Linked DNA regions of Saccharomyces cerevisiae S288C. Changing the gene in region 1 together with any one later gene gives a genetic interaction. Each region holds a gene or a part of one and is shown in the gene's direction. Other genes may lie near its edges.

Evidence for each region. A genetic interaction does not mean that the proteins touch.
Region 2: mutations in MET17 (region 1) and OPT1 are lethal when combined (synthetic lethality), as found in Saccharomyces cerevisiae (2 studies listed by BioGRID, with this or other methods).

The regions. Positions count from the first base shown.
Region 1 is NC_001144.5:730,840-734,533, forward strand, and holds MET17 (bifunctional cysteine synthase/O-acetylhomoserine aminocarboxypropyltransferase MET17), read left to right. Parts: upstream 1-1,702; coding exon 1,703-3,037; downstream 3,038-3,694. Other genes in the region: HRI1 (Hri1p), read left to right, coding at 1-720; YLR302C (uncharacterized protein), read right to left, coding at 1,352-1,714. UniProt on the Saccharomyces cerevisiae protein: Catalyzes the conversion of O-acetyl-L-homoserine (OAH) into homocysteine in the methionine biosynthesis pathway. Required to efficiently reduce toxic levels of hydrogen sulfide generated when the sulfate assimilation pathway (SAP) is active.
Region 2 is NC_001142.9:34,371-38,128, reverse strand, and holds the start of OPT1 (oligopeptide transporter OPT1), read left to right. Parts: upstream 1-1,879; coding exon 1,880-3,758. Other genes in the region: CBP1 (Cbp1p), read right to left, coding at 1-124; PEX2 (ubiquitin-protein ligase peroxin 2), read right to left, coding at 395-1,210. UniProt on the Saccharomyces cerevisiae protein: High affinity transporter for glutathione. Also transports tetra- and pentapeptides like the opioids leucine enkephalin (Tyr-Gly-Gly-Phe-Leu) and methionine enkephalin (Tyr-Gly-Gly_Phe-Met) across the cell membrane.

The DNA.
Region 1 (3,694 bases):
AAAAGATTATTGTTTCAAGTGGGTCCTCATCCAAACGAAAGAACATTCACCTTATCCTCTGTTTCAACTGATGGGCACTATATTTCCTTGAGACCATTTGTTAAGCCAAGCGGTGATGAGTTATCTTTTCCTTTCGAATGGGCCTTTGCCGGTACAAACGAAACAGTTAAAGCTAATGATCAAGGAAACGGTGTCGTTACTCAAGATTTCAATTTCTGGTTGGATACAAATGTGTACTTGAACGTTCCAAACACCCATCGTGGCGAAGTGAACACCACTTGGAAAAATTGGGATTCTGGTTGTGTCGAGGAAACAGGCGCTGTTTACCCATTCGGTGCCGACAAAGAAAGCGTCTCTTTCAGAGAATTGTGGCAACCAGTTGACCCATCAAGAGAAGATCTAGTCATCGTCTCACCAAACAATGAGAAGTTCTCGTCGAATGCTAGGTCAATTGTCCTCAAAGTTACTGACGAAGCTTATGATGGTTTGGTTATTGTTATTGGTAGATGGATTCAAGGGTTTTTGTCCCAAAAGAATAATAACACTATTGAAGGCTTGAACTTCATCAGATTACTTGAAAAAGATTCAGGTAAATCTGAGTTCTTATTAAGCTACGGTAAGGAAGTAAACAAAATTCCACAAAGCTACGAAAATTTGAAGAAAGGTTCCACTGTAACCAGCAATGGGTTGAACTGGGAAGTTATTGAATATCACGCTTAATAAAGGAGAATAAATCGTTTTCTACTTTCTTCTGCTGCTATAATAAGCACCTATGGGATCTATATAGTATTTTTATAACGATAGACTTTATAAAAGAAAATACCTAAGTGAAAATTTGGTGAATTTTGAGATAATTGTTGGGATTCCATTTTTAATAAGGCAATAATATTAGGTATGTAGAATATACTAGAAGTTCTCCTCGAGGATTTAGGAATCCATAAAAGGGAATCTGCAATTCTACACAATTCTATAAATATTATTATCATCGTTTTATATGTTAATATTCATTGATCCTATTACATTATCAATCCTTGCGTTTCAGCTTCCACTAATTTAGATGACTATTTCTCATCATTTGCGTCATCTTCTAACACCGTATATGATAATATACTAGTAACGTAAATACTAGTTAGTAGATGATAGTTGATTTTTATTCCAACACTAAGAAATAATTTCGCCATTTCTTGAATGTATTTAAAGATATTTAATGCTATAATAGACATTTAAATCCAATTCTTCCAACATACAATGGGAGTTTGGCCGAGTGGTTTAAGGCGTCAGATTTAGGTGGATTTAACCTCTAAAATCTCTGATATCTTCGGATGCAAGGGTTCGAATCCCTTAGCTCTCATTATTTTTTGCTTTTTCTCTTGAGGTCACATGATCGCAAAATGGCAAATGGCACGTGAAGCTGTCGATATTGGGGAACTGTGGTGGTTGGCAAATGACTAATTAAGTTAGTCAAGGCGCCATCCTCATGAAAACTGTGTAACATAATAACCGAAGTGTCGAAAAGGTGGCACCTTGTCCAATTGAACACGCTCGATGAAAAAAATAAGATATATATAAGGTTAAGTAAAGCGTCTGTTAGAAAGGAAGTTTTTCCTTTTTCTTGCTCTCTTGTCTTTTCATCTACTATTTCCTTCGTGTAATACAGGGTCGTCAGATACATAGATACAATTCTATTACCCCCATCCATACAATGCCATCTCATTTCGATACTGTTCAACTACACGCCGGCCAAGAGAACCCTGGTGACAATGCTCACAGATCCAGAGCTGTACCAATTTACGCCACCACTTCTTATGTTTTCGAAAACTCTAAGCATGGTTCGCAATTGTTTGGTCTAGAAGTTCCAGGTTACGTCTATTCCCGTTTCCAAAACCCAACCAGTAATGTTTTGGAAGAAAGAATTGCTGCTTTAGAAGGTGGTGCTGCTGCTTTGGCTGTTTCCTCCGGTCAAGCCGCTCAAACCCTTGCCATCCAAGGTTTGGCACACACTGGTGACAACATCGTTTCCACTTCTTACTTATACGGTGGTACTTATAACCAGTTCAAAATCTCGTTCAAAAGATTTGGTATCGAGGCTAGATTTGTTGAAGGTGACAATCCAGAAGAATTCGAAAAGGTCTTTGATGAAAGAACCAAGGCTGTTTATTTGGAAACCATTGGTAATCCAAAGTACAATGTTCCGGATTTTGAAAAAATTGTTGCAATTGCTCACAAACACGGTATTCCAGTTGTCGTTGACAACACATTTGGTGCCGGTGGTTACTTCTGTCAGCCAATTAAATACGGTGCTGATATTGTAACACATTCTGCTACCAAATGGATTGGTGGTCATGGTACTACTATCGGTGGTATTATTGTTGACTCTGGTAAGTTCCCATGGAAGGACTACCCAGAAAAGTTCCCTCAATTCTCTCAACCTGCCGAAGGATATCACGGTACTATCTACAATGAAGCCTACGGTAACTTGGCATACATCGTTCATGTTAGAACTGAACTATTAAGAGATTTGGGTCCATTGATGAACCCATTTGCCTCTTTCTTGCTACTACAAGGTGTTGAAACATTATCTTTGAGAGCTGAAAGACACGGTGAAAATGCATTGAAGTTAGCCAAATGGTTAGAACAATCCCCATACGTATCTTGGGTTTCATACCCTGGTTTAGCATCTCATTCTCATCATGAAAATGCTAAGAAGTATCTATCTAACGGTTTCGGTGGTGTCTTATCTTTCGGTGTAAAAGACTTACCAAATGCCGACAAGGAAACTGACCCATTCAAACTTTCTGGTGCTCAAGTTGTTGACAATTTAAAGCTTGCCTCTAACTTGGCCAATGTTGGTGATGCCAAGACCTTAGTCATTGCTCCATACTTCACTACCCACAAACAATTAAATGACAAAGAAAAGTTGGCATCTGGTGTTACCAAGGACTTAATTCGTGTCTCTGTTGGTATCGAATTTATTGATGACATTATTGCAGACTTCCAGCAATCTTTTGAAACTGTTTTCGCTGGCCAAAAACCATGAGTGTGCGTAATGAGTTGTAAAATTATGTATAAACCTACTTTCTCTCACAAGTACTATACTTTTATAAAACGAACTTTATTGAAATGAATATCCTTTTTTTCCCTTGTTACATGTCGTGACTCGTACTTTGAACCTAAATTGTTCTAACATCAAAGAACAGTGTTAATTCGCAGTCGAGAAGAAAAATATGGTGAACAAGACTCATCTACTTCATGAGACTACTTTACGCCTCCTATAAAGCTGTCACACTGGATAAATTTATTGTAGGACCAAGTTACAAAAGAGGATGATGGAGGTTTCTTTACAATAAAGAAGCACATGTGTGTTAACGTTTTTAGTATTTGCTTGTTATGTAAATCAGGAAAACTTCGCGGGATTTGGTTGGATGCTACTTTCCATACAATAAATATTATAGATCTAAAAAGCCAAATTACAAGTAAAGATTAGTAAAGCTGTTGGAATTCCATCGTTGATAAAAATGTTAGTTATTAAATATAAAAGTCAGAATAGGTGAACTTGGATTTAATTGTTGGCATTTCGTTGCTGCTAGAGGCCATAATATTAGATAGCCAGGACATACTAGTTCTCCTCGTGGTATAGGAATCCATAAAATGGAATTGGTGATTCTATGTGATATATTCACATTCTTACTACATT
Region 2 (3,758 bases), on another chromosome or scaffold:
TAAGGGCCAAGACCTGTTTTTGAATTGGATCCCTGCTGCTGTGGTTGATTCGTCGCAAGGTCCTGGTAGGTACCATTTTTATAAACCTCTCGGTCCTGTACCGAACGAGACGAGGTAAAAACATTGCATGGAAAGGGAAACGTGCAAAATGCAAACTACTGCTATCCTAAAGTGCTCACTGTTTATTATTACTGGATTTCAGACGTCGCTTCCCACATCGTCCCGTACAGCGTTCCATGATGATATTATACCACTTCTTTATTGTTTCTTTTTTTTCTTGAGCAGAAAGTGAAAAAAAAAAAACCAGACCCTTTACCACGTGACCGATTTTGACAACATGAATATGAATATAGTATACACATATATAGAGATACAAGCGAGGGAACGGGGCCCTTTAGTACACTGGTGAGGCGGTCAGTCTCCCAGAGGATCCACAGGCATCGCACATAGACCACTCCAACGCCTTTACAACGCACACGTAACAGTAGTTCGCACGACAACAAGCGATCTGGTATGGGTTGGTTGGAAAACCGCCGCAACGGGGGCAAACTGTCTTATAAGTAGTCGTAGAACGAGACCTTGGTGGTTTTTTAACAAAGGTCAAGAGTCCTCTTTTCGTAAGTAGTGTATTGGAAAAGAGTTCTAATAGTGCATTCCATAGCAATTGTCTATTCTGGTATTCTAACCCAGCGAATACAGAGTTCGAATAAAATTCAGAGGCAATTGCAGAACCATCCCGAATCAACCTTGTGGAATGGACATTAAAAGCCCGGTATAACGGCGACAAAAACGCCCTCGCATTGGGCCCTTCCGCTGCTAGAAACCTCAGGAAGTTGGTTACATCACAGCCGTGATACAATAAATTAACCCATTTGTACAGCTTCAGCCACATCATCTGGTTCCCACAGTGCGGCCCATTAAAAATAATATGTGTGATCTTCTTCCACACGTACCCTGCCAAGACAGTGACGACATACAAGGTGCGTTTCCTGCACTGAAAAACCACGCCACTGAGTGCGGATCCATACGTACAGCTAGAGCCATAGTGTGGCAGGAACCTCGTCGCGCACATAAACACAACTGTGTTCAGTGCCAACTCCCATTCCTCTTTGTGTTCACTCGTATTGAATGCTGCATTGAACTCGGACCAAAACTGTCCATACAATTCTTTATCAAGCGCTATCGAGTCGAGCTGTGCAACTCGAGACATGCTGCGTTGCCTTTAGATTACGTCTTCTCAGTTATCTCGGCAATCTCTCCTCGTTATGCTTTCCCTCCGTCTTCACTCATCCCTTATAATGCGTTTCCCAGCAACCTTATCGATAGAATGGAGGGGAAATCGCATCCGTTCCACTCCTCGGATCGATACTAACTTCCGAGACGTTGCATCAAAGGCCAAGACATGGCATTAGTCACCCTTGTTGCAACGATAGACGCATACTACGGACCCCTCAAACCTCCCTACCTGCCCGTCGCTATCGCATTAATTTTCTTTTTTTCCACTATTTTTCCGGCCCGCCACACCTCCGACTACAAGACGCCACATCTACGTTTTGTCACACAAAATCCAGGACAATAGCCGTCTGCAAGGCACCAAGGTTTTCAGCAGTTGCTTGTTGCTGCTGCCTGTTAATCACATCAAACCCACTGCAAGGGCAGTCGATGGGTCTGTAAACGCCTTAGCAATCGTTGTTGAAGAAAGAGAGCTCTTATCATCATGGGGTGCCCATCATTTTTCTTTTTTTTTCAAATTTTGGGCTATTCAATGAATTGTTTCGACTATATATGGACAATCATCGGAAGCTGTGTATTCTTGGTAAAAAGTTTTCGACTGTGTGGCAGAAAATAACCGCAACAATTATATAACGTCACAGAACACATGAGTACCATTTATAGGGAGAGCGACTCGTTGGAGTCGGAGCCCTCGCCAACGCCAACAACCATTCCTATCCAGATCAATATGGAAGAGGAAAAGAAAGATGCTTTCGTTAAGAATATTGACGAGGACGTCAATAATCTCACTGCGACTACTGATGAGGAGGACCGCGATCCGGAAAGCCAAAAATTCGACAGGCATTCCATACAGGAGGAAGGTCTCGTTTGGAAGGGCGACCCTACATACTTGCCCAATTCTCCATATCCTGAAGTGAGATCGGCGGTGTCCATCGAGGATGACCCCACCATCCGCCTCAACCACTGGAGAACGTGGTTCTTGACCACGGTGTTTGTGGTAGTTTTCGCCGGTGTTAATCAATTTTTTTCCCTGAGATATCCATCGCTAGAGATCAACTTCCTTGTTGCACAAGTTGTTTGCTACCCAATTGGTAGGATACTGGCTCTCTTGCCCGACTGGAAGTGTTCTAAAGTGCCATTTTTCGATTTAAACCCGGGCCCATTTACCAAAAAGGAACACGCCGTGGTCACAATTGCCGTGGCGCTTACTTCCTCTACTGCATACGCTATGTACATTTTGAACGCCCAGGGAAGCTTTTACAACATGAAACTTAATGTCGGATATCAGTTCTTGTTGGTTTGGACATCTCAAATGATTGGTTATGGTGCTGCAGGTCTTACCAGAAGATGGGTCGTCAACCCTGCAAGCTCTATCTGGCCTCAGACTTTAATTTCAGTGTCCTTGTTTGATTCGTTGCACTCGAGAAAAGTTGAAAAGACAGTCGCAAATGGTTGGACGATGCCCCGTTACAGGTTCTTCTTAATCGTCCTTATCGGATCGTTCATCTGGTATTGGGTACCTGGATTCCTCTTTACCGGTCTGTCCTATTTCAACGTTATCCTATGGGGGTCGAAGACAAGACACAATTTCATCGCTAACACAATCTTTGGTACTCAAAGTGGTCTCGGTGCGTTGCCAATTACATTTGACTACACCCAGGTTTCCCAAGCCATGTCCGGCTCTGTTTTCGCCACACCATTCTACGTCTCCGCCAACACCTATGCATCAGTGTTGATATTCTTCGTCATAGTGCTGCCATGTCTTTATTTTACGAATACCTGGTATGCCAAATACATGCCCGTCATTTCAGGTTCTACTTATGACAACACTCAAAACAAATACAACGTAACAAAGATTCTTAACGAGGATTATTCCATTAATCTTGAGAAATATAAGGAATACTCACCGGTATTCGTTCCATTTTCCTATCTTTTGTCGTATGCTTTAAATTTTGCCGCTGTTATCGCCGTTTTTGTCCACTGCATCTTATACCACGGTAAAGATATTGTCGCCAAGTTTAAAGACCGTAAAAATGGTGGCACTGACATTCACATGAGAATCTACTCCAAGAACTATAAGGATTGTCCCGATTGGTGGTATTTACTTTTGCAGATTGTCATGATCGGTTTAGGATTTGTAGCAGTGTGCTGTTTCGATACTAAGTTCCCAGCTTGGGCATTTGTTATTGCAATATTAATTTCCCTTGTAAATTTCATCCCGCAAGGTATCTTGGAAGCAATGACTAACCAACACGTAGGTTTGAATATTATCACAGAATTGATCTGCGGTTATATGCTGCCTTTAAGACCAATGGCAAACTTATTATTCAAGCTATACGGATTTATTGTCATGAGACAAGGCTTGAATTTGAGTAGAGATTTGAAATTAGCCATGTACATGAAGGTTTCCCCTCGTTTGATCTTTGCCGTTCAAATCTATGCCACTATCATATCAGGCATGGTTAACGTTGGTGTCCAGGAATGGATGATGCATAATATCGATGGCTTATGTACCACCGATCAAC